7 linked regions of the Macaca mulatta genome follow. The protein of the gene in region 7 interacts with the protein of the main gene of each other region in a pairwise test. Links are inferred from orthologs where the notes say so. Each region holds a gene or a part of one and is shown on either strand. Other genes may lie near its edges.

Region 1 (3,768 bases), on a different chromosome or scaffold from region 7:
AAACCTTTTGTCAAGTTTATGCTCGAAGCTATTGTATCCTTTGGGTTATTTTCAGAGGCACGGTTTTTAGGCATTTCTTTCTAACGCTGTTGAATTTCTGAGCCTTAAATATGTCAACGACCATCTGTAGCTCTACTCCAAATATCCTTCCCAGTTGGGGTTGTAATACTCATCTCCCACATTCAGGACCTCGGCTAACTCCTCTCAACCCTTTGCCTGGTCTGGGGCAGTCTAAATTACAAAGAACAGGCTGAACCTTTATTTTAACCTGGTCTTTTTTTTGCCAGAAAAAGTAATATAGCAACGACAGTAATGCATCTCATGTTTTAGTAACAATGGTTTACCCCAGGGAGCATTAACGTCACTGTGTACCTTAGCAGCTACTTTTCCTTGCATTTTATAATTCCCCTTCCCCATGCCCCGGCCCCGCCCGTGGGCAGCATCCCAAAGCCGCCTCGCTGACGTTGGTTAGGGTAGAGACGCTCTCCGTAAAGGCTGTCCAAGCCTTCTCTTCCTTTCATTAGCGGTGTAATCCTGTGTTCCCGCCGGAGCCTGGCACGGAAGTGTAATCTTCCCGCGGGGGCCCTCCTGTAGTCTCGCCTATCTGAGAGCTGAGACTAAATGAAATATAAAATATTCACGATAAGAGGAAACAAAGGATGCTACCTCCAGGACGGCTACTGTGCCTGAGGCTGGGCTCTGTCTCAGTCATCCCAGGGCCTCTCCGTCTGGCCCCACCCTCGCCCCTCCATGGGATCCACAAGTTGAATCGCAGCTCTCTAGGGTGAATTTCCCTGGCCGGGAGCCAGACTCTGCACCGCCGCCCCGTTCCCCCCCTGCTGGGGAGCGCAGAATGACCACCAGGAGGCCAGGAACAAAACGCTTAAATGTTGCATTTATTAAGGAAATGTTAAATAAGAAAAAAAAAAAACAAAAAGTCAAAACGGTGTCACGGATGTCAAGAGCACTTTTGTGGCGTAAACCGTGCAGTCACGAGCTACGAGTTCTATTCTGGGTCTTTGTATCAGGGCCAGCAGGAACGCTAGACACCTCCCAAAAGACCCAGTGGGAAATGCACTAAAAGAAACAACTCACCCCCCTCAAAGTCGCAGGCTCCCCTCCCCCCACCCCTTCTCCCACAACGACAAAACTTTAACCCCTCAGGCAGGCAAACAGGCCACTGGGGCAGAAAAAGACTTATCAAATATTTGTATTCAAGCAAACAAACACAAAACCTCTTAAAACAGCACGTTACAATCAAAGGTATTTATCGCCTCTCCCCTCCAGGGCTGGTGGGGAGCAGGAGAAGAGTGGGAGCACACCCGGACACGGATTTGTGAGACCCCATGATGTCTGCTGCGTGGCTTTTAACAGGTCATTTTTCCGGTCACAAGGCGATCAGTGCCGCTGGGTCTCTCCCCTGCCCTCCCTCTCCACTTGCCCCCAGAGCTTGGCCCACCTGCGGGTGGAGAAGGGCCTGCGCCCCGTCGTTCTCCCCGCATTCCAAGTAAGTAGCAGCTTCCAAAGTTCTGCGCCCTAATCGCCTTCTTCTTGCCACTTTCTGCTGAGTCCAGAAGTCCGGGCGCTCTCCTCCGACTGCCAGGCATGAGGACTTTCAGAGGGCGAGGGAGAAACCGGTCGCTTCTTTCCGAAAGGCCGAAGTCGAGAGAAATAATTGACTCCGACAGGTTTGCTTCGCCCAGTCTCTGACAGTGAGGGGCACAGCCGGGCTGGCAAAGTGGGCAGGCGTGGGAGCGGTTGCCGCGGGGGCGGAGGGGCGGGTCAGTAGGGCCCCACGACCACTGCCTCCACCTCCTTAGACGGTCTCCGGTCCTTCACGAGGAAGTTGATCATGCCCTCGGACTTGATCAGCAGATTGCAGCCGAGGAAGAAGATGCCGAAGACCACGGTGAGTGAGAGCACGCACATAACGGCGATCTGCACCACGCGCATTATGTACAGGCTGCGCTCGTCCGGGCCTCCCTCCGCGAAGCCGTCGTCGGTCACCACGGACGCCTGGGTGCAGCAGCGCACGGCTCGCTCCAGCGCCTCGCTGCTGTTAGCCAGGAACAGGCCCGCCACGTCGGTCTGGTTGCCCAGGGCCGGATTCATCGCAGGAGCGGGCGGGCGCCGCGAGCGGCGCGGGTCCGAGGGGTGGGAAGGCGGCGGCGCTGGAGGAACAGGTGCCGAGCTGAGCGCTCACTCGCAGACTAGCGCTTGCAAGGGCTCCTAGCTCTGCTTTCGAAAGTCCCTGGGCCGTGGGAGTTTCCCAGGAGCCTCTCCGACGCGCGCAGCAGCTAGGCTCTTCTAAAGCCGTCCGCTCCAGCCCGGGCGGTGCTCGTTCCCGGCGCTCGCTCGACTGGGGGCTGTTGGAACTTGGCGGGGCTGGACCAGCCCGGCCGTGGGAGGTGCGGGCAGCGGCGGCTGCAGCGGCGGGGCGGCTGCACTGAGTAAACAGCGGCCCCTTCCGGCCGCACCGCCGCGCTGCGCGCTACTCTTGGGCGGTGGAGGAAGCAAAGGGGCGAACCTGGTCTTGCTTTTTATTGCTTTCTTCTTTTGCAAACTCCGAAGGCCAGGCAGAGGTCATCGTACTCTTCTAGCTTGATGGATGATTAAAAGAGTTTGGCGGGGGAGGGTGCGGTCAGCTGAAAGTTTCAGAGGAACTGGGACACACGAGCTCTGCGTGTCCTCTGCCGGCTGTCCCCCTGACCTCTGGGCTGATGGAAAGTGGCGATGAATCCCAGGTGCCAGATGGTGCCAGCTGAGGCCACCCGCCCACCGCCTGTGCTTGACTCCGTCTCGCCTGCGTTGGATTTCTGGTGGAGTGGAGGTGATCTGAGAATGTTTCTTACAAAGTAATGAATTTGGAAAGACAGAAAGGCATGGAAGAAGGAAGGAAGGAAGGAAAGAAAGAAAAAAGGAAGGCAGGGAGAAAAAAGAGCTCTACACTCAACTTCCTTTACAAAAGCGATTGGGAGACAGAGCAAGGCAGATTTTATCATGAGGTGTGAGGCCAAGGAAAGGGGGTTAGAGGAAGGAGGAGTTCTTCTGTGGCCCTTGGGTGGAGGTGGTTGCCGGGAGCAGGGGTCACCTCTCTGGTAAAGGAAGTGAACACAGTGACCACTTGCTTGTAATTTTAATTGCAGATGAATTTTTGGATGTGCTTCCAGCATTTTGTCCATTGGCAGTAAATCAGTTGTTTAAAGGAATTGCTCATCAACATCCATCACCTAAAACGCTGGCCAAATGCTGGGAGCCCTCCCCATTTTCCATAAGCTGATGCATTTCACCCTTAGTCATTTAAACTAAACACAGATGTTTGTATGGGCCTGATTGACGCTTCAGCCATTGTGATTTTGCTGTAGGTTCCAACGAAATTTTATAAACCTATAGATTAAGTTTCTTAACTCTGAAAGAATACTGCATGATCCCGCGCCCCCTTTTCTATTTTCTTTTCCCTCCCTCCTTTTCCCCATTACTCCCTGCCTTCCTCCCTCTTTCTTTCAGCTGTAACAGCTGGAAACCAGTAACTTGAGCTTTCAACAGAATACATTTATTTTCTATTAAATGTTCTCACCACAAAGAACTGATAAAAATTTGAGATAATGGGTACGCTAATTACTCTGATTTGATCATTCCACAATATATATGTGTATCAAAATATCACTTTATACCTCATAAATATGTACAATTGTTTGTCAATTAAAAATAAAATAAAACTGAAAAGCAGCTGTCTTGCCATTTTCAACTCTAAATTTCATTCTGTTT
Region 2 (3,753 bases), on a different chromosome or scaffold from region 7:
ACCAGGGAATTTGAGTACTTAAAAAAAAAAAAAAAAAAAAAAAAAAAGGTGTGAAGCAGCAAGGGTTTAATGAGCCTCTAAACAAATAGTGGGGGGGGGGGTAGGATAAATCCCTAGGGCTTGGTGGGCAGAGGGAGATGCAGCTGATAAACAAGGGACTAGATACACTTCACTATGAGCAATATGTACACGACCTACTCATACCCAGAGAAATTATCCAAACTGATCCTTTTGCCTTTAACATTTTGGTTCAAAAAAAAGATTTTGCAGCTATACCTTGAGGCATGTCCAGAGCAGCCACAAATATTAATCAACAGTAACTTGTTCGTGAACATATTAGCCTTTACAGAGAGTTCTGTCCTAGTGAAGGTGTGATATACTAAACACGTAGACATAAACCACCCTCTACTAATTTCAAGAACTAGTCTAGGCTGGATAAGGGAAGCAAAAAGGTACATGTAAGGAAGCAGTGTATACTCTCAAAAGACCTATTTAATCCATGGCTTTTGCTAATACTACCAGTTCAAGGGGATGGCAGAGATTAGAATGAAATTTATAAATTGCTCAGAAATAAGCCAACACTACCTCTGGTTGTTCCTTACCCTGACCAACCCAAACAAAAAAGTTTATTCACTTTAGTTGTGACTGGTCCGTGTGAGTTCTAAGTCAACAATAGGGAATTCTTGACATTCAATATTATCTGAGCAACTGGGTGGGAGTAAAATGTGTGGTTCCTGCCAGATAGGAAATGACATTTTGAGCAAGGACAGGATCTGCTCTAGCCTAAAGCTTTGTGCAAGAGTTTGTCATTGAAGCAAATGACTCAGGGATGGAAACACATTTGGTCTTACCTTTACAAAGCTAAGATAGTCATTATTTTACCTTCCTACTATAAGCACTGTGGAAGGTGGTTTATCATTCAACCCAACAATGCAGTCATGGTGCATCTGTCCCATCACATGCTGGCTGCTCAAAACAGAAACAAAAACATTTTCTGCCTTTTTAGCCTCTCACCTCCTGGGTTAGCTACAGAGTTAACTAACCTTTATAGCTAACAAACTGTCAGGTACAAGGGCAGAGGAACCAGCTGACCTGTACCTGCCCTGGGACTAAGTGATTTGGCCTTGGCCACAGAGCAAAGATACGTAAGTCTTGAAGACAACTAATGATTTAATTGGACTATACTGTGGTTTTGCGGCATCTTGACCTTCACCTAACTTCCCCCTGAATTCATGTTGGTTCTGAGTTGCCTCAGCTTTGCATCCTGAGATGAGTTATGTCCTGGCTGGCTCTGCTGGTCACTTTACCCTATCTTGGCACCCCATCTCTGGCTCTTGATCTCATCAGCATGCTGACGCCTTAACCCTCTACTCAGTTCCCTTCCCTGATCTCAAAAGTTTACTGTTCCCATTCCATTTCTTGTCTTTGGTGCTCAGAATTTGGTACCTGGCCCAGAAACTGAGAACTCTGGCCAGAGGCTCATGAAGTGCCCGCCCCACTCCTGAAGACCACTCTTGCCCTTCCCTTCTGTGTGGTACCTGAAGATGCTGTTCCTCTTCCTGGAAAGTCTTCTCTAGTTGCTCCACTCTTGCCTGCTGCTGCGCCTGCTCTGCACACAGCTGGGACTGTAAGTCCTGCAGTTCCTGCTCCATTCGCACAATTTTCTTTGAGTTCCCCTTTTGGGTCTGCTTTTTCACATTCATAACGGCTTCATGTTTTTCTTGCATCTGTATTTTCAGCCTCAGAATCCTGGACATGGTCACCTTAAACATCTGTAAGCTTCTCTGAGATGCTGAAGAGTTTGAGGCTTTCTGCTCATGATGAACCTCTGTGACTATGGGGAAGCCAGGGTAAATGGGAGCCCCTGTGGTCTTCGTACTTGGCTCAAGGGCAGTCAACTTAGGATCCAAATTTTCAGAGGGTGTACTGGCCACTTCACCTTTCCCCTGTGATTTCACTGACTGACTAGATTCACAAGACACTTTATTTATTTTGGATTTCAAATTTGAGGGGCCTTCAGCTCCAGGACCTCCTAATTGATCCAAACTGAATTTCCTTTTAGTTCTCAATTCCTTATTTTTTTCTATCATCTGGTCATTCTTTGGGGAAAGACAAGGATATATTGTCTCCCAGTCTTCTTCAGTAACTTCATATTCATACTCCGCATTCTCCTTATTTTCCAGAGGCACTCCAAGTTGGATGTAGTCTCCCTGATGAATGGAATAGACCCTTAAAGGTTCCAGACGTGCTCTGTTCAGCCAAACACCATTTAGACTCTGGGGAAAGTGAAAGACAGAAGAAATAAGCTTCGTGATTTTCGTCTTCTTAATGGAACCTCTCTCCTGCTGCTGTAAAACCTTCTGCCTTTTCAGAAGGAAAACTCTTGATAACAAATAGAAAAGAAAGGTTCATAAACTACCATCCCTAGAAACAGCATTCGTTAAGCAGTGCTTTGGCTTTTTACCTATATTTCACATTCATGCGTCCACAGAGAACTGCCATATTAACAGGCAGGAATCACCTTATTATTGGTGGATAATTTACTCAAACACATGGAATAGCATTAAAGGAAACTGAAATTGGCTAGCTCCTATTGACCTAAACTGGAGCAACGTCCCAAAACTAGAAAAAATATTATTAGTGAAGAAAGCAGTAGTTAAGGATGAGGTCCATGAAGTAGGTTCAAATGCTATCTCTGGATGTGGTTCCTTAACACACTGGTAAACAAGCACGCACACATAAATAAAAAAAAAAGAGAGTACTAAATCCGGTACTGGGGTCAAATGGCAGATAGGATCTGAGCCAATTAATACCAACAGGGATATATGGGCAATACAGGATAATGGTTAAGAGCTGGAGCTCTGGACTCAGATGCGGGTTCATAGTCCGCATGGCATTTGACAATTCACTTAACCTCTCCATGCCTGTTTTGTCTGCAGAATAGGGATAGTACAGTACCTACCTCATACTGTTTCTGTGAGGAATGAATAAGATAATGCATGTGAATCACTTAGCACAATGACTCACATAGAATAAATGCTTAATAAATATTTACTGTCTGGGAGTGGTGGCTTACATCTGTAATCTCAGCACTTTGAGAGGCCGAGGTGTGTGGATTACTTGAGGCCAGGAGTTCAAGACCACCCTGGCCAACACAGTGAAACCCCCTCTCTACTAAAAATACAAAAATTAGCCAGGTGTGGTGGTAGATGCCTGTAATCCCAGCTACTTGGGAGGCCAAGGCATTAGAATTGCTAGAACCCAGGAGGCGGAGGTTGCTGTGAGCCGAGATTGTGTCACTGCACTCCAGTCTGGGTGACAGAGCGAGACTCTGTCTCCAAAATAAATAAAATAAAATAAACTTTTATGGTTTTAAAGAAGTCATAGTATCGAGGTTAAGAGCACAGATCCTGGAGTGAGACTGCCTGGGTTTGTAATGTGGCTCTATCACTTAGCAGCTGGGTGATTTTGGCCGGGTTTCTTGACCTCTTTATGGTCCAGTTACTGCATCAATAAAATGGAGGAAAATAAGTCTCCCCTTATGGTGTCTGTGCGGATTTAATGAGATAACATATGGCAATTATTTAGACAGTGCCTGGGCATCGTGTTACATAAGTGTTCACTACTATTACTATGCCTTGGTTCAACTGATTCATCAACAATCATTTCAATTCTATGCTCAATGTCATGCAAGGTAAATATATTGAGTGAAAAGACATGAAAACTTTCAGCAGCTGACTGTGGAAAAGACAA
Region 3 (4,297 bases), on a different chromosome or scaffold from region 7:
CCAGGCAGGAGTGCAGTGGTCTGATCATGTTTCACTGCAGCCTTGAACTCCCGGGCTCAAGCAACCCTCCCACCTCAGCCTCCCGAGTAGTTGGGATTACAAGCACGCGCCACAATGCCTGGGCTATTTTTTTTTTCTTTTTTTCTTCCTTTTTTTTTTTTTGAGATGGAGTCTTGCTCTGTCACCCAGGCTGGAGTGCAGTGGCGCAATCTCTGCTCACTATAACCTCCACCTCCCGGGTTCAAGCAATTCTCCTGCCTCAGCCTCCTGACTAGCTGGGATTATAGGCGCGCACCACCACACCCGGCTCATTTTTTGTGTGTTTTTAGTAGAGACGGGGTTTCACGATGTTGGTCAGGCTGGTCTCGAACTCCTGACCTCGTGATCTGCCTGCCTCGGCCTTCCAAAGTGCTGGGATTACAGGCGTGAGCCACCGTGCCCGGCTGCCTGGGCTAATTTTTAAAATTATTTGTAGAGACAGGGTCTCACTATGTTGCCAAGGTTGATCTCTAACTCCTGGGCTCAAGCGATCCTCCCGCCTGAGCCTCCCAGAGTGTTGGGATTACTGTCATGAGCCACTGTGCCCAGCGGAGGAACACTTTTCAATCCTTACCCAGTTATTGTGAACATTCATACCTTTTCTTGAAGACATACCATTTTGTTTCTTTGTTTTTGCTTTTTTTTTTTTTTTTTTTTTGAGACGGAGTTTCACTCTTGTTGCCCAGGCTGGAGTGCAATGGCGTGATCTTGGCTCACCGCAACCTCTGCCTCCCAGATTCAAGCGATTCTCCTGCCTCAGCCTTCCAAGTAGCTGGGATTACAAGCATGCATCACCATGTCCGGCTAATTTTTGTATTTTTAGTAGAAACGAGGTTTCTCCATGTTGGTCAGGCTGGTTTCGAACTCCCGACCTCAGGTGATCCACCCGCCTCAGCCTCCCAAAGTGTTGGGATTACAGGCGTGAGCCACGCGCCTGGCTTTTTTTTTTTTTTTTTTTTTTTTTTTTTTTTTTTTGTAAACGCGACAGCTCCAAACCCCGCTGAGAGTATATGCACGGGAAAACTTTCTGAAATCAAAAATATTCTGCATTCTGGCAACACACTGGGCCACAGGTCTTTCGGATTTAACTCTGCCTAGGCCGTTTTATTCAGTTAAGGAAACTGAGTCACTCCCTCCCAAAGCCAGATTCCCGCGGTTCTAAGCTGAAGCTGTCTCGGGTCCATTTGCATTCCAAAAAGGCGAGGGGTCCCTCTATTACTACTCCTGGTACCTGGAGCTGCCAAGTACCCTGGCGATGGGGCGCCTCGGGGGCTGTGCGCCGGGCTGGGAGTATCCTTGGCGGGCGGGGCGAGGGGGCTTCCGGGGCGGCAGCCACCTGGCCCGGCTCCGGCCCCGCCCGCGTCATCTCTGCGCGGTGATTCACTCCCTCCTTCGCCCCGGGGCCCCCTTCCCGGCCAGACGGCGGGCAAGACAGCTGGGTGTGCAGCGTCCTCGAAACCACGAGCAAGCGAGCAGATCCTCCGAGGCACCACGGACTCCAGCCCATGCCATGGCGGATTCTGAGCGCCTCTCTGCCCCTGGCTGCTGGGCCGCCTGCACCAACTTCTCGCGCACCCGAAAGGGAATCCTCCTGTTTGCTGAGATTGTGAGCGACCTGGGGCAGGCGCGTGGGCAAAAGCGGGATGGGGTGGCTGGACCACGCGGAACTGGATGGTCCGGGTGAGGCAGGCACTTGGCCGGGGCGCTCGGCAGTGGGGTGCAGGTGGGTGGGTTCACGGTGAAGGCCCGAAACCCGGGGCGCAGGGCGAGTCGGTGGGGTTTGGCGAAGGTTGTTGAGATCTGGTAGCCCCCGGGGTGAGGCAAGGAGCCTATAACGCATACGGAGGGCTACATGGGGGGAGCTGCGTTAACTCATCAGTGGACTCATCGAAGGGGTCCCAGGGTGCTGGGAAGTCGGGGCCTCCTGCGGCAGGGCGTGGCGCGGCCTGGACACAGGAGGGCGGGCTGGCAGCGCGCCCAGGGGCAGGGCCTGTTGGGGTGGGGCCCCCCCTCGCGCTAGTCCCGCGGTGTAGAGGGCCCCGCCCTTCGCCAGTTCTTCCTTGCCCTTCTGAGGCCGGGCGGGATGTCCTTAGGTTTTCGGGGTTTCCACCCTTCTCAAAGTGGGCGCCGCCTTTGAGTCACTTGTAAAAGGGGTGCGGCGCCTTTAAGGGAGTCCTGCCTCTCTGGTGTCACTCTCACCGCTTCCCAAAGGGGTTGCTGGGGGAACCGCGTGTTCAGCCCGGGTCAAGGCCACAAAGCCGGCGTCAGCGGGGCTCACAAAACACCTGGCAGCGCCACTCCCCTCAGGCTGCCCATATCCTAGAAGGGAAAAGGGGAGGAAACTGAGGCACCCAACTCTACTTCATACTTGCTGGGTGACCCTGGCCAAGCCATTAAACCTCTCTGCACCTCAGTTTTCTCATCTATAAATTAGAGAGAGTAATAATAGTACCCAGAACATTAGATTGTCGTGATGATTGAATTTGGAACACAGTGAGCACATAAAAAGTGTTTAGCTATTATTGCGTGTCATTTCCCCAGCGCTCATAGTCATTCGAGTACGGGACTCCTAATTTAAACCAATCTCCTCAGCCCTGGTTGCTGATTGAGGTCCCCTTTCCCATGTCACCCTTCCAGATATTATGTCTGGTGATCCTGATCTGCTTCAGTGCCTCCACACCAGGCTACTCCTCCTTGTCGGTGGTTGAGATGATCCTTGCTGCTATTTTCTTTGTTGTCTACATGTGTGACCTGCACACCAAGATACCATTCATCAACTGGCCTTGGAGTGTGAGAAGGGGTCCACAATGGCAAGGCCAGGGAGGGGTCTGGGCAGTTAGGATTGTCTGGGAACTGTGGATGCTGACTTCCCTCTTCTCCCTACACCTCACAGGATTTCTTCCGAACCCTCATAGCGGCAATCCTCTACCTGATCACCTCCATTGTTGTCCTTGTTGAGAGAGGAAACCACTCCAAAATCGTCGCAGGGGTAAAGGCCATGGGAGCAGCTCTGAAGCACAGAGAGAAGGGTTTGAGGAGCCAGGGGCCATTTCTGCCTTAGCTTCCAGCAGAAATCGTGTGGCCCACAGCAAGTCACACTTGTCCTCAGGGCATGGAGGGAAGTTTGGCACAGGACTTGCTTTTGCCTCCCAAGGTCTTCATTTGCTGTGAAGGGCAGTCCCTTGTCATTCACAAGGACCTTGGTGAGAAGTACAAACAGGTGGCCCCTTTGTCAACACACTGGACTACCATCTGCAAGAACTTTGTCCCAAATGTAGTAGGAATTGGGGCTGGGCGCAGTGGCTCATGCCTGTATTCCCAGCACTTTGGGAGGCTGAGGCTGAGGCAGGCAGATCACTTGAGGTCAGGAGTTCAAGACCAGCCTGGCCAACATGTTGAAACCCCGTCTCTACTAAAAATACAAAAATTAGCTGGGTGTGGTGGCAGGTGCCTGTAGTCCCAGCTACTCAGGAGGCTGAGGCAGGAGAATCACTTGAACCCAGGAGACAAAGCTTGCAGTGAGTCAAGATCATGTCACTGCACTCCAGCCTGGGTGACAGATGGGTGACAGAGTGCGACTGTGTCTTAAAAAAAAAAAGTATGAATTGAATTGTGCCCCCTACGTGTAAGGCCACAGTGTGGCCTCCCTGTGTTGAGGGGTATAGGAGGAGGGAGAGTGGGGTAGGATGCATTATCTTGGCCTTTCCCTGGGGTTCTTTGGCTTCCCAACCTGGGGCTTGAGTCCCGTCCTGTATGGGGCAGGTGCTGGAGGTGGTAGATGCAAGAAGATAAGAGACTGAGTAACCTGACTTCCTAATCTAACCCTCCTCACTCCTATCCTGTCCCCCAGGTACTGGGCCTAATCGCTACGTGCCTCTTTGGCTATGATGCCTATGTCACCTTCCCCTTTCGGCAGCCAAGACATACAGCAGCCCCCACTGGTAAGGGTGTGTGTGTGTTGGTTGGGGGTAAGGGGGTTGCTGAGAGGGCAGAGGAGAAAAAGAAAGGGATCTCTTAAAGGCATGAATGCCAACTCTGGTCCCGTATTGGTACTGATGGCTTTTGTACCAATAGGTACCATAAGCTTCAGTATTCTTGTGTGTAAAATGTTCACGGACTTTGGATCTTGTTTTTAAAAAATGGGCATATAGATTCAGCCAATGCTTTCTCTCTTTTCCTCACCTGCAGACCCCGCAGATGGCCCGGTGTAGGCGAGCTCCCTTCATTTCCCTCTGCAATCTGCAAATAACTCCTCCAT
Region 4 (4,282 bases), on a different chromosome or scaffold from region 7:
GAGCCACCGTGCCCAGCCCCCTTTGCCTTAATCTTTCAGAAAAATAAATCCTATTATATCACTTCAGGTTCTCATTGCTGTCTGGCCTACTCAAATGCTTACATTATTTTCTGAACGTAATTAGCATATGTTATTGTGTATAGTAGCTTTTTAATCCTATTGATTTTCCTTTTATCTTACCTTTGCCTACTGTAGTCATTCCTAATATCCTGAACGTTGATCTATTCCTCAGATGCATCTAACTCATGCTTACTTTAAAAAAAAAAAAAGTCTCCAAACTCTGTCACTACCATAGACCTTGGGAGCAGAGCATCATCTTTGGGAGAACGTTCTTTGTTTTCTTGGAAATTCTAGTAACAAGAGTCTGTAACTTCTCTGGCCCTGAGGAGACCAGTAGCATGAAAGAGTAAAATGGGAGCCAATGACAGCTCTAAGACTTGGGTAAGGGAAGGAAAAATAGTCCTCCCCACCCACTACCCCCAAATAAAGAAAAAATAAAGGAAAAGAAATGGGTTAGTGAGAATCAAGATGGAGGGAGCTGGGTGGGAGAAAAGTGAAAAAGAACAGGGAGAGAGAGAAGAAAGAAAGAGGTTTTTATAGTTTGTAGAAAGATCACTCTGCCATGGCCGGGCACGGTGGCTCACGCCTGTAATCCCAGCCTTTGGGAGGCCTAGGCGGGCGGATCACGAGGTCAGGAGATTGAGACCATCCTGGCTATGGTGAAACTCCGTCTCTACTAAAATACAAAAAAAGAAATGAAACAAAATGACGGGTGCTTGTAGTCCCAGCTACTCAGGAGGCTGAGGCAGGAGCATGGCATGAACCCAGGAGGCGGAGCTTGCTGTGAGCTGAGATTGCCCCACTGCACTCCAGCCTGGGTGACAGTGTGAGATTCCGTCTCAAAAAATAAATAAATAAATAAATAAATAAATAAAGAAGGATCACTCTGACATTGCCATAATTCCACTTTAGATTTGCCAGCTAAGCAGTAAACTAAACCAATGCTTGTTTTTTTCTTGCTATAGTGGGGATATGTTGTCACAATATGACCTTAACTGAGGTCCCCCTTCTCCCACTAATAAAACCATACTGTAATTATAGACAAAATATCAGGAAACAATAAAGAGCCTCAGGGACCTTACAGATAGTTGTATTATAGGCAATAACATCCATCTCCCATTAGGTTTTCAGGGGCCATTCAGTGATTGCACCAGCACCCTAGGTTGCCTTACTTTGGCCTAGCAGGGTGTTTTTAGAGAGTTTGTATCACATTTCAGTGTTCACCTTCTTTGCTTTTGCCTTTCCTAGTGAGGTTAAATGTGAATTATTGGCCGGGTGCCGTGGCTCAAGCCTGTAATCCCAGCACTTTGGGAGGCCGAGACGGGCGGATCACGAGGTCAGGAGATCGAGACCATCCTGGCTCACACGGTGAAACCCTGTCTCTACCAAAAAAAAAAAAATATAAAAAACTAGCCGGGCGAGGTGGCGGGCGCCTGTAGTCCCAGCTATAGGGAGGCTGAGGCAGGAGAATGGCGTAAACCCGGGAGGCGGAGCGTGCAGTGAGCTGAGATCCGGCCACTGCACTCCAGCATGGGTGACACAGCAAGACTCCGTCTCAAAAAATAAAAATAAAAGTGAATTATTCCATTAGCAGCCCAGCATAAAATGGTAAGGTGAATGAACCACAGTCTTTAAAATAGGTGAATACTGAAGTGTGACAAAAGTGGCAAGAACCCCAGGTGGCTTTGGAACTTTCTTTTTTAAAAATGCTTTATCTGAGGCAAGATTTTGTTTCTCTGGCTCATCCCTCTTACTAGAAATCTTTGGCTTCAGAGAAAATCAACATAATGTTAATGGGTGCCCTGGTATAAAAGTATAGCATTGCACCTAAAATTATGCAATTCAGTTTTTTGAAAGGCCTAAGTTCAAGACCCCAGTCTGCTACTCACTAGCTGTGTGACCTTGAGCAAGTCACTTTTTGGCTCTGAGTTCGAGTTTCCTGATCTGAAAATGATGATAATAATAGCACCTATCTATAAGGTTGTCGGAGAATCAAAGAAAAGTGAAGCATTTAGTACAATGTTTGGCACATAGGTAGCATCCAATAAATGATGTCTTTTGCCACCACAATTATTCTTCTTACATACCTCGTCTATTTCCTCTTCTGGTTCAGAAAATTCAGGAATCACTTTAATCTGAGTTTTGATAAAACATTTTTGAAGACCCACGAAGTAGATGCCAGTGTATCCCTATGAAACAGACAAAACAACAATAAAGCTTCCCAAAAGACCCACTATTAGTAAGTTCCATGATCTGTTGGGGTACCAGACTAGCAAAATTTGAATTCATAATGGAATGCTAGCCTCCTCTAGGTTTCCATTTGAATTCAAATTTTAGATGGAGGCTATTTTTAACTTGACTCAACTGCTCTAATATTTTAAGTGGAAAGCCTTAGGGGGAAAACATCCAACTTACGTTTTTAAAGTCGTGTACTTCCAATGTTTCATCAGTGCCATTTCCGCTTCTGAATATTTCAGTTCTGGTCACAGGATCAATTTCCATGTAAATCTTCTTCTTCTCTCCATTGCTGTAGAAAGTGTGCTCCATGTCATAGGTCTGGGAGAACAGAGGAAAACAATCTCTAAGATATTCAGTGTGGGTCAGGAGATGGAGATCATCCTGGCTAACACGGTGAAACCCCGTCTCTACTAAAAATACAAAAAAATTAGTCAGGCGTGGTGGCGGGCGCCTGTAGTCCCAGCTACTCGGGAGGCTGAAGCAGGAGAATGGCGTGAACCTGGGAGGCGGAGCTTGCAGTGAGCCGAGATCTTGCCACTGCACTCCAGCCTGGGCGACTGAGCAAGACTCCATCTCAAAAAAAAAAAAAAAAGGATACTCAGTGTGTCCCTAAAGTGAGGTGCTTTTTGGTGCTGCAGCTGATATGGAGATCACTTCAGAGCTGGTATTTTGAATTCAAGCCAAGCTGCTGAACTAATTACTAAGAATTCCAACAGTTTTCTTGGCAGCCTTGGCTAAATAGCAAATGATAGTTTGTAAACCAGCCTATAAAGTATTTTCCCCTTGTGTTAAGCTGAGGGATCACCTAAAACCTATGCTGCTTCTTTAAGCTACCACTTCCCTTTCCAAGTGCTAAGTAATCACGCCCCCCAATCCCCCCACACTGCCCCTTCCCTCGCCCATGAAATTCATTAGGTCTGAGAAAGAGATTTGAATACACTTAAAATGGTTACGTATTGTTTGTCTCCTTATCTATCCAGGGCTTTAATATTGCCACAACAGCCTTGAGTCTATCCTTTTAGAATCTGAAGACTTTCTCCTTGCCAATATTAGTCCTACCCTGCTCTGTTTGCTTCCTTTTGCACCTTAAACTCCAGGAAACATTTATACCTTTCCTTAGTCTTCTCTTTATAGGGCAACCAACCCCACCCAGTTTGTTCCTGGGTTCTGTTTCCCAAGCCATATTCAGTTGTTTTCAAGTTCTGCAGATTCTTTTGTGTATATGGAATTAAGCCAACTGAGCCAAGTGTCCTGCATTAAGTAACGTGGAGCCTCCCAAGAAGAAAGGCTGTTCATCAGGTCTTTCTTGAGTGGCTAAAACAAAACCCCAGATGTTCTCCTGTGCTCTAAAAGAGGCAATTGTATTTCTAGAGACCAAGAGGACCAGTCCCATATGGTACTGCAGTTTAGGAGTAAGCCCTTATCTTATAATTTTAGGGCATATTTATAGGTAGAAGCAAATAAGCGTAAAGGAATTTGTTATCTGTCACGAACCAGGCCAGACCTGATGATGCCTTTTGGAAGTCTATCTTATCTCTGTCATTAGGAGACCTTTGTTTATCAAGTTTCTTCATATTCATTTTTCCTTATGAAAAAAAATTTGGAAAACTAAAAGCCTTAAAAAGCAAGTCTTCAGAGCCCACATTGCTTTCTAATGATACGGTTCCCAGTGGCAGCCTTGTAGAGAACTTACACCAGGTTGGGTCGTTTTTTAGTGTCTGCTGATGCCATTGACTGAATGTTAGTTTAACCTGGTCAAATATTCACCAACTCAACTAGAGAAAAACAAATTGGAACCATTTGTAGAAGCAAGTATTACTTCAAGGGTGGCAAGTCTAATGTAGCTGCTGAAGAGAAAATCAAGAGTCAATGTCATTTACCCCTTGGTAGCTCTACAGTGCCTTGGACATGGTTGGAACCTAAGTATTTGTTGAATAAATTTTCCCCACCAATGGCACATCCTTATCTTCCTAAAGAGAGATTT
Region 5 (4,412 bases), on a different chromosome or scaffold from region 7:
TTTTTTTTTGTTTTCCTTTGGGTGATGAGATTAAAAGTAATTTAAAAATTTTAAATACTTTAATATATTTTCACATGTCCTACAATAAATATATAGCTTTTTATTTCAACAAAAAATAATTTTGAGTGGTTACAAAAAGAGACAGGTGTGGCTTGGTAACTAGGAAAACATTCCCAGCCTGGCAAACAATCTGGTGAGAGCTTGGAGGCAGAAGGCAGCACTCTGACTACATTCAAGGAGTTTGCCAGATGGCAACAGATAATGCCAATGTTCGATTGCACTATAATTATTATACACTCTCTGTCACTTCAGCAAGCTCTCTTTTCACAAGACAAGTGGGGACAGAATGTTGTATTAAGATTACCCATCGCTAAGCTTATGTTAAAATGAGGAAACGAAATGGAAAGTCTTGTTTTGGTAATGTCTCTGGGGTATGAGGAATGGAATGGACGGAAAGGTTTCACGACGGGCACAACTACGTAGAGAATTTCGTTTGTTTATGCCTTTTGGGAATGCATTATTTTGATTGACCCTAACTGGGAATTCAGAGGGGGAGATTTCCTCTATTATCTATAAAGAAAGGATCTGCTGAGCAAACACAATGGCTAGGGTCATGTTTAAAGTACTCAATTGATCTGCTTTCAAGTCTAATGAAACACTTCAGGGGCTCTAAACATGTGATATGTTGGTTACAAACTCATCTTAGTCTAATTTTAGTCAATGTTTGTGTTAGAAAGTTATATAATACTTGTCTTTCATTCAGATATATTCTATAATTCACATTTTCCACTAATTTTACCCCAGTTCTCCTTCCCCCCCAATCTATCCAAATAACTGAGTTGAACTCTGTGAGTTTACTGCTCTATTAATTTATTGACAGAGATATACAAACCATGACTTCCTCGGCTGTTTCAGATGAAACTGTAGATCCACATGTAAACTTGCAATGCACAGCTTAGCCGGAAAGTTATGTGGAGCAGGTGACTGAGGGGATAGCTTTCACTGCTTGGACTAAAGTCAGTTTTCAAAGAGCTAAAGATGCCTATTGAATTCTGGAGTGTGTGTGTGTGTGTGTGTGTGTGTGTGTGTATGGGTGTGCATGTGTGTGGGTGTAAAGCAGCAAACTCTTCACATTTCAAATAACTAAAGATATGGGTGGTAAAATGAAGTCACATTTTTACACCTCACATGCTGACTAGGGAGAGCAGTCAAATGCAGCATCGACTGGTTAAAATTAGTCTCTCATTCTTGGTTTAGGATGTTTTAAAGACATGTTAAAGATATTCGTGAAGATGTAAAAGATACATTTAAAACCCACGTCAATTGCACTAAAAGTCAACTGGAAACAGAAGGTTTTTAAATCCTGGTAGTGGCAAATTGGCAGCCAAAGGAACAGAGTCTTAGTCAACATATTCCCATGTCCCCCTGAACACAAATAGCCTCGAACCTTCGGAGGGTGTTCCTTTGAGATATTTCATCAGTGACATCACAGTGATTGCCAGCTTCCACGGACTACTTTAGGCACTGCCCAGAGTCTAGGAGTCCAGACAGCCTGGGAGGGGAGAAGGAGTTGGAGCTGAAGTTGGAGACAGCGAGGAGAAACCTGCTATAGCCAGGGTGTGTCTCTGATCCTCTTCAGGTAACTGCAGGATTTTTATGCTTAGCATACGGTGTGTGTGTGTGTACAAGCTGCAAATGAGAAAGGCACAGGAATGTTTACATTTCTTAATGAAATAGGCAATGCCCCTTGTATACAGCGTGCCTTAAGGTATAAAGTGAATACTATTGCTTTCTCTTTTCCTTTTCTTTCTCCTAAGGGTATGCATTTTTTCCCTTCCTAGTAAAAAAAAAAAAAAAAAAAATTTTTTTTGGTATTATGGAAGAAGGTCTGTTTGCTATCTTCTCTAAGTCTCCATTCAAAGAAAACCAACGTCAAGCTTCCTGTACAATTTATTCAGAGCTTTTTTGGGTTTTAGTTCATCCACTTGCAATCACTGGATCATATGGCATGACCTTGACTTCAGGGAATGTTTAAAATGAAACCCAAAGTGTCTTTATGGGTTAACAGCAGAAAAATGGAACTTGGCTGATCTGAATTTCTGCCTAACTGGTTCATTCTTCCTAAAGTGTATAAATGTGTGTGAAAGGAATGTTCACACCACACCTTACAGTTAGTATATGTGTTGATTGAATTGAATTCACTAGAAATTCTCAACTTAACTCTTTATGTTTAATTCATCTAAAATCACATAAAACAATAAATACTTAAGGTCACCGTTAAAGTGCAAGAAGTAGTAAGAAGTAAATCCCAAGAAAGAAAGAAGTGTGATGGGTAGCCTGCTAATTCAGAGATGACTGAAAAAAAAAATGTAAAGAGTGCATAAACATATACAGTTTAAACAGTAACTAAAAGGCAACACTTCTATAATTATCATCCAGCTCAAGAAACAGATCATTGCCAGCGCCCAGAAACCCATTCCTGATCAACCCCCATCCTGCCCTTCTGCCTCAGATGTTGGGATCCTCTTGTCCCTGTTATTCTTTATAGTTTGACCATCTATGTGTGCATTCCTAAACAGTATGATTAGCCTCCCTATTTTTGACTTCATATAAATGGAGTCATATTCTATGTTTCTTTTGTAAATTCTTTCACCCAACAGTTATATTTGTGAGATCTACCCATTTTGTGTGTAGCTATAGTTCATACGTTTTCTTTGCTTTATAAAATTCAAATGTATGAATATACCACAATTTATCATCCATTCTGCTGTTGATAAACATTTGAGTTGTTTCCAGCTTGGAGTTATTGTGATAATATTGCTGTGAACCTCTTTGTTTATGTAACCTGGCACACACGTCCTTAAATGTCTTAAGGTAGAAGTGAAATGCTAGATATTAGAGAATGAACATTTTCACCATTAATTCTAAGAAAGCCAAATTGTTTTCCAAAGTGGTAGAAAATTTATGCTAACTTTGTTTAGCCAGGCCAGTTAATTGCAGTGATAATTCAATTATGTCATAACTCCTAGGAAGTGACCACAATTCTAGTAACTAGTTCCAGTCTGCTAATTCTAGCTTTGCCTCTAACTTGTTATCTGTCATTACACAAACATCTTAATCTCCTCTCTCTAAAAGTCAGTTTCTCAGCTGCAATCTTGAGAAAGAGAAAAACTGCAGTAACACTTGCCTGCGTTGTTGTGAAGGTAACACGAACAGAGCTGTGGAACAGCTTTCAATAGTATTTTTCTCATTTTCTGAGTATATCCTGTTGGATAACTATCCATGATTCCTGTGACTTAACAGCTTAATTTAATAGGCAGATTTGGTGGGACCGTTATTTTGCCCTCCTTGAATTGAATTGTTTTGATCATTATAAGCCAGGCTTCATATTTTCTGCATTTCTTGAGAACTTACCCAAATAAATGGACATTTGGACTAGGGTTTTATTTCATTGATAAGTCTATAAGAAAGAATCTGTCTTCATTTCTCATTCCTTTGCCTCCAGGCACCTTGGCAAGACTCATTACCTTTCTGTTCTCCTCTGCTCTTTTGTACATTCTCATAAATCCTTTTTCCTTGATCCATTCATTTTCTTCTGTTTACTTTCTCCTCCAAGCAAATCTTTGTAAAGATTTTCTATTTTTTCCCCTTTTTATTTTCTTGGAGAGACAGGGTCTTGCTATGTTATCCAGGCTGCTCTTGAACTCCTAGGCTCAGGTGATCCTCCCACTCATTATTAGACTGCCTGAATAATGTGCAAGCCTCCCAAAGTGCTCATTAGAGGCATGAGCCACCATGCCCAGCCATTTGCGATCGTTTTCATTGGCAATTTACTATTTCCTTCATGCTGAGGTCTAAAAGATGGATAACAATTAAAAGGGAGATGAAACATAAATCTGTCATCATTTGGCTATATATTTGCTGGCTGGCACCATCCGATTTGAACTTGTATTTTTTTTTGAGACAGGGTCTCATTATGTTGCCTAGGCTGGTCTTAAACTCTTAGGCTCAAGGAATCCTCCCACCTCAGCTTCGCAAGTAGCTAGGACTACGGGTACCCACTGCCATGCCTGGCTGAACCTGTATGTTATGCCAGTTACACAATACGAAAAATGATTATTCAGTTGGCATTTATGCAATTAATAATTTGGTCCATTGATAATATAATCAATACAGTAATTACAATTAATAATTCAGTCATGTTAGATAGTTAAAAAAATACCGCTCAGACCAAAAGCTTGCTCACAACCCTTTCAGCCTCTTGAACTCTCACCTTTAGCAAACAAACAAAACACCTTTTCTCCCTAAACTTTCACTCTACAGTAGACTTTGGCCCTAAATATCTAAGATATAAATATCTAATTATTCAAAATACATAAATCTTTAATTTCATTTAGACTGCCTGAATAATG
Region 6 (4,213 bases), on a different chromosome or scaffold from region 7:
CTGCCCTTTGGTCATGAGCTGGCAGGTTCCCCTGTCCCCCCCTCCACCTGGAGGGCCTTCGGCCCCAAGGTTGCATAACAACATGGCATCTGAACTGAGAGCCCCTGAGAAGCTGAGAAGCGCAGGAAGGAAGAAAGGGAAGGAAGTGTTTGCTCCCACCACCCTCCTCACCCCCGAGCTGCCCCTTTAAATATTTGCCTAAGACTCCAGCAGCTCGAGAGTGTCCTAGGACAGTGAAAGGAGGGGAGGGGTGCCGGGAGGAGGGGGAGCCCAGAGAAGCGTCCTCTCAGCTCGGCCTCAGCTGTGTGCAGGTGCCAGATGTAGGAGACAGCTCGCCTGCAGTGCCCACCCCTGCCCTCCCCCAGGGCCCCCACTCCTGCCCCCATCATCCTGGCAACATTGCGATTGATCAGCTGACTCACACGTACTGGGCCTGAGCCAGGTGGGCAGCCAGCCAGCGGGAGAGCCAAGCACTGCAGGCATCTCGGGGTCCCTGTGGGCATCTCAGGGGGCCGTGTTGTCCTCACGTGGGACTTGTTCTTAGCAGGCACTGTGGGTGGGGCTTGCCGCCATCACTGGGTGCTAGGAGAGGGGTCTCTTTCTTTGAAAAAGCCTCTGCTCTTTCTGGTCCTTGGTCTCCCTTGCCTGTTGCCCTTAGGCTGTAGCTGTCATAAGCTCTGTGGCTGCTGTTGCTGCTGCTTCTCCTTAAAACTCATTTTTGCTTGAGGGCTGAGGGAGGGTGCCCGCCTCCTGGAGCACTCACACTAACCAGGTGAAGGTCCTGGGTTCCTTGGAGAAGGAAACACAGAAGGATCTTTAGCTGGGTGTGCCAACCTTCCCCCTCCCCCATACCAGCCCTATCTGCAGCCTTCTCACATTTTTGCCTTTTCTCCTTATGGGAGAAATGCTTAAGCCATTTCTCCCTCTGTGAAAGCCAACCTCCAATCCCTCTCCACTTCTCCGGTTTTATTTATTTATTTATTTATTTATTTAGAGACAATGTCTCACTCTGTTACCCAGGCTGGAGTGCAGTGGTGCAATGACAGCTTCATAGCTCACTGCAGCCTTCATCTCCTGGCCTCAAGTGATCCTCCTACCTTGGCCTTCCAAAGTGCTGAGATGACAAGTGTGAACCCTGCATCTGACCTTCTATCTCTCTGAATGCCACCCACCCAAACAGGCCAAGTGCCATTGGCACCTGCTCTGTGACCTCACTCCAGTTCATGGTGCCCTTTGAAATCCTCAGCCTCTCTGTGGCACCTTCACCTGCCATTCAGCACATATGAATGTTCTTGTCAGCTACATGGGTGATTTTTGTTGCTCTGTCTTCTAGCCCAACTGCAGGCCCTGGGAAGGAAAGGAGCACGCTTCCCATAGGCTTCTTTGAACCTGCCACTGGGCAGGAGGCATGCAAACAGCCAACACTTAATGATAGTCAATGATGAGACCAATACCAACAGTGGCCAATAGTCCATGCCTTCTGTATGTGGAGGTCTCAGTGCTTCCACTGGCCAGCTCTGGGACCCAGCGTGAGTCATTCTGCTTTGCTAGGCATTAGTATGTTCATCTGTGAGATGGGTCAGGTACTAGCTGTCCACCTCACTATGCTATTATAAGGACCTAATGGCATCATGGGTGTGACATCCAGTCGTCATCATTAGCATCATCTACTTCATCCTCTAGGGGACCTCCCACTAGCTAAGAATACAGCCCAGACTCGCCCTCATTGTCTGTTTCTGGGTTGACCCCCTCTGAGAGCCCTGGGCAATGGACAGCCCCACAGTGGCCACCCCTTCTGTGTGGGCCTCCCCGTTTCCTCCTCCAGCCTCTCAGCTGCAGGGGTGGGGACAAGATTCACTTTGCTCTTTGTGTACTGGGCAGAGCCGTGCCAGGGACGGGTGGGAACAGTTGCCCAGCTGCCCCAGCCACCTCCCTACCCCCACTGCTTCCCTGCCCCCAAGTTGGCATGGGGAGGGCAGCTAAATGTGTGGCAGCAAGTAGACATCAAAGTGCAGGGGCATCCCTGGCTGGGAGAACACGACTTAAGCTCAGACCAGAGAATCCCCTGCTGGCAGAGTCTAGGGACAGCTGGGGAAGCGTCTTAAAGCCATTGGTCTCAGTTCCCTGGACTGGTGTGGAAAGAGCACAAGACTAGAAGCCCAGGCAGCTTACAGCCAGGCTCCCCTTGCCCCATGCCTATGAGCTCTTAGGACAGTCATCCTCCGCCACGGGGAAGCTAACGTGGTATAGAGCAGCAGTCTTCAAGCTTTTTGGTTTCAGTACCCCTTAACACTCTCAAAAAGTATTGAAGACCCCAAAGAGCTTTTGTTTATGTGGGATATGTCTGTTGACATTTATTGAGAAATTATCTTTTTATTTACATATGAATTTAAAATATCAGTAATAAACCCATTATATGTTATGATATAAATCACATTTTTAATGGAAAAACTATTTTACAAAGCAAAAATAAAATTAGAAAGTGTCACTCCTTTACAGTTTTAGAAATCTTTTAAATTTGGAACTTCATAGAAGTGAAAAGGGCAAATCATGTCTTGACAATACTAGGGAAATTGTTTTTACCTCAGAGACAGAGAAGGCCCAGGGCTACACTTGGAAGAACCCTGCATGGAAGGACAACCGTGAACGTTGAAGTTGGGCACAGTGGGCAGAAATCCCTGCTGATACATTTTTCTTCTGGTGCGACAGGCCTCACTTTTCTTGTCTGTAAAAGGGAATTACTATCACCTGCCTCAAACTATTGAGAGGATTAAGTAGGGAAAGTACAGAACACTTGAGATTGCAAACTTAGCCAGCCTCTTTTTGGGGGACCTCAGTTTCCTCATTTGTTAGACAAAGGGCTGGACTGAAAAATATCTAAAGCGCTTCCCAGCTTCAACAGGCTGTGGCTGAGCAGTGAGAAATGTTCCAGAATTCCACACAGTCCCACTCCAGCTCCAGAGGCTGTGTTTCCCTTTTCAGCTCATGCTGACACAAAGGTACATTCTGTTCAGTGGCGCGTGGAAAAACATGTGAATTCAGTTAGAAGCGCACTTCAGACTCCTCCAGGACGCCCTTGTGCTTCTAATCTTGCATGCTAACTTAGATATGCGTCTGCCACTCACGACATGCCCATGATGCTGCCTAGGGGATGTGTCCCCCCCATGCAAAGAAATCCAGGTACACAGAAGCACAGAGATCCCTAACTCCGAAGCGCCTCCACAAGGCAGTGTGTGCATGTGCCCGTGCAGAGACAGGTGAGCACCGGCGCGCACGGTCGTGCCCAGCACACGAAGGCACAAGTACAAGCTCACACGCATGCACTCACGCGCAGCCACACACGCGGATGGCCCCAGAGACAGCCCGGGAGAGCACACAGCGGCCACTCCTCCCCTTCGGTGACTCCCAGACTCGGGCCTCCCACTGCCGCCCCGCGCGCGCCCCCGCCGCCCGCGCCGCAGTCCGCATCCACCCCGCGCGGTCAGCCCCGGCTGCGGCTCCAGCTCCGCGCTCCGCGCTTCTCTCCCGAGCCGGATCGCGGGAACGAGCAGGGGAGGGGACCGCAGCCGGCGCCCGAGGGCAAGAAGAGTCCGCAGGCGGGCCCCTGGCTGCGGCAGCAGCTGCCGGTGGCCGGGAGGTGCCAGCCCGCGCGGGGTGGCCCAGCCGCGGGAGCGGTGGGGCGGGTCCGCGGCTGCCGGCCCCAGGGAGAGCTCGCGGGCAGCATGGCGGGGCTGCGGGCCAGGCGGGGCCCGGCGCCGGGGCTGCTGGCGCTCTCCGCGCTTGGCTTCTGCCTCATGCTGCAGGTCAGCGCTAAGAGGCTCCCCAAGACGCCCCCCTGCCCGCCCAGCTGCTCCTGCACCAGGGACACCGCCTTCTGCGTGGATTCAAAGGCAGTGCCCAGGAACCTGCCCTCGGAGGTCATCTCCCTGTGAGTGTCCAGCCCCGGCCTTGGGGGTGGGGAGGGAGAGGAGGCCGAGGACAGCTCTGGGAGAGGACAGGAGAACCCTCGCTCCCCCTCTTCAGAGTGTGGGGACCAGGGGGACTGCAGGGGTCCTCAGGGCTGGAGAGCCCAGGCCCCAGTCGGGCAGGGAGTTCTGCAGTTTTGCAGCCTCAGCGGCCATGGGTGGGGAAAGCAGGAGTTCACCACCAAGAATGAATCATCACCACCACGAGCGTCAGTGAGACCTACTGTGTGCTGGGCTCCAGACTTGTG
Region 7 (3,753 bases):
AACTTGTCCATGGTAAAGAAGGACCCTGGATAAGAGAGGGAAGGGACCTGGATTCTAGTGCTGACACTATTGCTGACGACCTGAGCAACTCTTCTCCCCTACATCTGTTGTGATTTCCCCTTTGTAAAATGGGAAGCCTGGACCAGACAATCACTGAGTCTTCCTTTAGCTCCCTGATTACTTTTACTGCTTAAGCCAACTTCTATCTGAGACCAGTATTCCCCAAGAGTTTGAGATGGGAGGCTGAGTTACGTGAGCAGGAACATATTTATTTCGGGAAAACCTACTGGGAGAAAATGCAAGGCTGCATGATGGTCAGGAGGCTGGTGGGACAACTGACTGCTGGACCACAATCAGAAGTGACTGGAAGATTAATTTTAGCTCAACAGGAATAATATTTTATTTTAGCAAGCTACCTGGAATCCTGTATCAAAAGTAACAAGAGCAGGCCAGGCGTGGTGGCTCACACCTATAATCCCAGCACTTTGGGTGGCCGAGGCGGGTGGATTATCTGAGGTCAGGAGTTCAAGACTAGCCTGGCCAACATGGTGAAACCCTGTCTCTACTAAAAATACAAAAAAATTTACCTGGGCATGGTGGCTCACACCTGTAATCTCAGCTACTCAGGGGGCAGACGCAGGAAAATTGCTTGAGCCCAGGATACAGAGGTTGTAGTGAGCCGAGATGGCGCCACTGCACTCCAGCCTGGGTAACAGAATAAGACACCGTCTCAAAAAAAAAAAAAAAAAAAGTAACAAGAGCATATGTATTAGGGAAAATGGAAGAAAACACCTGCATTTGGGTTAAGAAATTCAAAGGTGCCTTCTAGGTTAAGGTTAATAGTAGTTCATGTGAAAATACCCCTAAGGATTTTAGGTGATGGTAAAAAGTCTGAATGAAAGGAGAGTAAGGGCCAGGCGCGATGGCTCACGCCTGTAATCCCAACACTTTGGGAGCCCAAGGCGGGCAGATCATCTGAGGTCAGGAGTTCAAGACCAGCCTGGCCAACATGGTGAAACCCTGTCTCTACTAAAAATACAAAACATTAGTTGGGCCTGGTGGTGGGTGCCTATAATCCCAGCTACTTGGGAGGCTGAGGCAGGAGAATAGCTTGAACCCAGGAGGTGGAGATTGCAGTGAGCTGAGATCATGCCATTGTATTCTCCAGCCTGGGCAACAAGAGTGAAACGTTGTCTCAAAAAAAAAAAAAAAAAAAAAAAAAGAGAAGAGTAAGAAGGCTGCGACGAGAGCTCACATGTCCTTGGTTTGTATGAAGAAAAGGACGGTACCTTCTACCGGGGCCCTCTCGTCATTGACAAACAGGAAGAGGACAGTACCCTCAACCAGGCCCCCCAACTGTGACAGGCAGAAGTTTCTTCCCAGGACAGTGAAGAAACCGGGCCATTTTGCAAAGCAGATACTAGGGGGACAGAGTGTTAGAGTGGGGGGATTGAGAGGTTGTGTCAAATATCTAAATTTGTCCTAGGCAATTCTGGAGGTCAGAATCTGGGCAGAAATGTTTAGCGCAGTATGAAGAACTGTCTAACAATTAGTACCTTTAAAAATGGAAAAAGGCCGGGCACGGTGGCTCAAGCCTGTAATCCCAGCACTTTGGGAGGCCGAGACGGGCGGATCACGAGGTCAGGAGATCGAGACCATCCTGGCTAACACGGTGAAACCCCGTCTCTACTAAAAAAATACAAAAAAAAACTAGCCGGGCGAGGTGGCGGGCGCCTGTAGTCCCAGCTACTCGGGAGGCTGAGGCAGGAGAATGGCGTGAACCCGGGAGGCGGAGCTTGCAGTGAGCTGAGATCCGGCCACTGCACTCCAGCCTGGACGACAGAGCGAGACTCCGTCTCAAAAAAAAAAAAAAAAAAAAAAAGGAAAAAGACTGGTTTATATGAAGAATTGAGTAATCAGCACACTGGGAAGTTGAGGCAGGAGGATTGCTTGAGGCCAGGAGTTTGCGACCAGCCTGGGCAACATAGTGAGACCTCATCTCTATTTTTTATTTTATTTTAATTAATTATTTATTTGTTTGAGCCAGAGTCTCGCTCTGTCACCCAGGCTGGAGGGCAATGGCGCGATTTCGGCTCACTGCAACCTCCGCCTCCCAGGTTCAAGCGATTCTCCTTCCTCGGCCTCCTGAATAGCTGGGATTACAGATGCCCACCACCACACCTGGCTAATTTTTTGTATTTTTAGTAGAGCTGGGGTTTCACCTTGTTGGCCAAGCTGGTCTCGAGCTCCTGACCTTGTGATCCACCCGCCTCAGCCTCCCAAAGTGCTGGGATTACAGGCGTGAGCCACTGCACCCGGCTATTTGTTTTTTTGAGATGAAGTCTAGCTCTGTTGTCCAGGCTGGAGTGCAGTGGCACGATCTTGTCTCACTGCAATCTCCGCCTCCTGGGCTCAAGCAATTCTCCTGCCTCAGCCTCCTGAGTAGCTGGGACTACAGGTGTGCACCAGCATGCTCAGCTAATTTTTGTATTTTTAGTAGAGACAGAGTTTCACCATGTTGGCCAGGCTGGTCTCAAACTCCTGACCTCAAGTGATCTGTCACCTCGGCCTCTTAAAGTGCTGAGATTACAGGCATGAGCCACTGCACCCAGCCTTCTCTCTATTTTGAAAAAATATATCTATTTTTAAGTTGTACATTTGGTCATAGGGGGTGTTCAGCTAGAGACCAAAACAGCTACCTGACCAGATTGCCACGGGAGTGGCTGCAATGGGTGCATAGATCTAGATGACACCTGAAAGCCTTTTTGTTTGACATGGTTATATGTATCTCTGAAATCAGCTTCCATCTGCTGACCAGCTGAAGTAAGGTACAAGAGAGAAGGTGGGCTTATCTCCCCAGGGCACACATTTGGGCCAGGGTAGAATCCGGAAAGCTCCTGACCCTGATTCTCCAGACATTCAGATGCCTAGGTTCTCTAGCACCATTCCCTCTCCCATGCCCACCCCCTGCCCCAACTTACCGGGAGATGGCAAAGAGACCAGTGAGCAGAGGGAGCAGTTTGAGGGTGTCCTGGGGCAGGTAAGTGGAAAGCACGGCCAGGTTGAAGAAGTAGAGGATAAAGAGCTGGATTGACTGGGCCACATATCGCCGGTGGATCTCCACTTCCCGCCGTGGCTCCCCAAAGGGCCGAAGGGCAGAAAAGCATAACAGGCTCAGCCCGTACACCAGGATCCCTGGGTGGAGTTGGGAAACACAGGGTAGGGTCAGAACAGGCAGGGTAAGGGCGCAAGAGGCAGTAAGCTGGGGGCAGGTTCACTGTGGGCAGTGCATAGCCTCTACACAGTGGGGTGGAAGTGGTCCTGGGAGGATATGGGCATGCAGACTGGCAGGGGGTGGGAGACCCTGAGGGGCCCAGGCCAAGTGAAGGGAAACCCTCCTGCTCCCCATGGCAGGCAGGCCCTGCCCTCCTCAAGTCCACTTCCCAATCTCCCCTTTCTTCTCACAGGCTCACCCAGCACAATGGGGAAGGTGGCAAAGACCCCGCAGCGGAGTGTGTAGATCAGGCGGGAACTCATGGTGGGCAGCCGTGGGACATCAAACGGCAGGAAGGCATATGCCCCATATAGTAGGCAGGGGAAGAGGATGAGTGCAGCTCCCACGGAGGCCACAGCCCTTAGCCACTCACGGTCTCCACAGCTCCCGCAGCCCCCACAGGAATGGCCAGGCGGCCTCACCACCGCCTCAGCCCACTTGCGCTCAGTGGGGTCGGGCTGGGTGGCCCGGGGGGGCAT

What was found.
Region 1: the proteins of TMEM79 (region 7) and RPRM interact in binary tests that used the Homo sapiens proteins (3 or more experiments, as listed by UniProt). The two-hybrid records come from large-scale screens. The link is inferred for Macaca mulatta from reciprocal best matches to the Homo sapiens genes TMEM79 and RPRM.
Region 2: the proteins of TMEM79 (region 7) and RNF8 interact in binary tests that used the Homo sapiens proteins (3 or more experiments, as listed by UniProt). The two-hybrid records come from large-scale screens. The link is inferred for Macaca mulatta from reciprocal best matches to the Homo sapiens genes TMEM79 and RNF8.
Region 3: the proteins of TMEM79 (region 7) and PLP2 interact in binary tests that used the Homo sapiens proteins (3 or more experiments, as listed by UniProt). The two-hybrid records come from large-scale screens. The link is inferred for Macaca mulatta from reciprocal best matches to the Homo sapiens genes TMEM79 and PLP2.
Region 4: the proteins of TMEM79 (region 7) and TNMD interact in binary tests that used the Homo sapiens proteins (3 or more experiments, as listed by UniProt). The two-hybrid records come from large-scale screens. The link is inferred for Macaca mulatta from reciprocal best matches to the Homo sapiens genes TMEM79 and TNMD.
Region 5: the proteins of TMEM79 (region 7) and SLN interact in binary tests that used the Homo sapiens proteins (3 or more experiments, as listed by UniProt). The two-hybrid records come from large-scale screens. The link is inferred for Macaca mulatta from reciprocal best matches to the Homo sapiens genes TMEM79 and SLN.
Region 6: the proteins of TMEM79 (region 7) and SFTPC interact in binary tests that used the Homo sapiens proteins (3 or more experiments, as listed by UniProt). The two-hybrid records come from large-scale screens. The link is inferred for Macaca mulatta from reciprocal best matches to the Homo sapiens genes TMEM79 and SFTPC.

What each region holds. Positions count from the first base shown.
Region 1 is NC_133417.1:58,347,945-58,351,712, forward strand, and holds RPRM (protein reprimo), read right to left. Parts: upstream 2,356-3,768; 5' UTR 2,113-2,355; coding exon 1,783-2,112; 3' UTR 656-1,782; downstream 1-655. UniProt on the Homo sapiens protein: May be involved in the regulation of p53-dependent G2 arrest of the cell cycle. Seems to induce cell cycle arrest by inhibiting CDK1 activity and nuclear translocation of the CDC2 cyclin B1 complex.
Region 2 is NC_133409.1:144,868,154-144,871,906, forward strand, and holds part of RNF8 (E3 ubiquitin-protein ligase RNF8), read right to left. Parts: intron 2,277-3,753; coding exon 1,539-2,276; intron 1-1,538. UniProt on the Homo sapiens protein: E3 ubiquitin-protein ligase that plays a key role in DNA damage signaling via 2 distinct roles: by mediating the 'Lys-63'-linked ubiquitination of histones H2A and H2AX and promoting the recruitment of DNA repair proteins at double-strand breaks (DSBs) sites, and by catalyzing 'Lys-48'-linked ubiquitination to remove target proteins from DNA damage sites.
Region 3 is NC_133426.1:49,246,508-49,250,804, forward strand, and holds the start of PLP2 (proteolipid protein 2), read left to right. Parts: upstream 1-1,435; 5' UTR 1,436-1,549; coding exon 1,550-1,645; intron 1,646-2,676; coding exon 2,677-2,829; intron 2,830-2,932; coding exon 2,933-3,028; intron 3,029-3,889; coding exon 3,890-3,980; intron 3,981-4,227; coding exon 4,228-4,250; 3' UTR 4,251-4,297. UniProt on the Homo sapiens protein: May play a role in cell differentiation in the intestinal epithelium.
Region 4 is NC_133426.1:107,447,742-107,452,023, reverse strand, and holds the start of TNMD (tenomodulin), read right to left. Parts: upstream 2,919-4,282; 5' UTR 2,872-2,918; coding exon 2,476-2,871; intron 2,250-2,475; coding exon 2,148-2,249; intron 1-2,147. UniProt on the Homo sapiens protein: May be an angiogenesis inhibitor.
Region 5 is NC_133419.1:108,554,107-108,558,518, reverse strand, and holds the start of SLN (sarcolipin), read left to right. Parts: upstream 1-1,499; 5' UTR 1,500-1,639; intron 1,640-4,412. UniProt on the Homo sapiens protein: Reversibly inhibits the activity of ATP2A1/SERCA1 and ATP2A2/SERCA2 in sarcoplasmic reticulum by decreasing the apparent affinity of the ATPase for Ca(2+). Also inhibits the activity of ATP2A3/SERCA3.
Region 6 is NC_133413.1:23,801,293-23,805,505, reverse strand, and holds the start of SFTPC (surfactant protein C), read right to left. Parts: upstream 2,869-4,213; 5' UTR 2,584-2,868; intron 1,802-2,583; exon of another isoform or gene 1,722-1,801; intron 790-1,721; 5' UTR 484-789; coding exon 423-483; intron 1-422. Other genes in the region: LGI3 (leucine-rich repeat LGI family member 3 precursor), read left to right, coding at 3,723-3,928. UniProt on the Homo sapiens protein: Pulmonary surfactant associated proteins promote alveolar stability by lowering the surface tension at the air-liquid interface in the peripheral air spaces.
Region 7 is NC_133406.1:110,640,395-110,644,147, forward strand, and holds part of TMEM79 (transmembrane protein 79), read right to left. Parts: coding exon 3,474-3,753; intron 3,196-3,473; coding exon 2,982-3,195; intron 2,824-2,981; exon of another isoform or gene 2,669-2,823; intron 706-2,668; coding exon of another isoform or gene 624-705; exon of another isoform or gene 588-623; intron 1-587.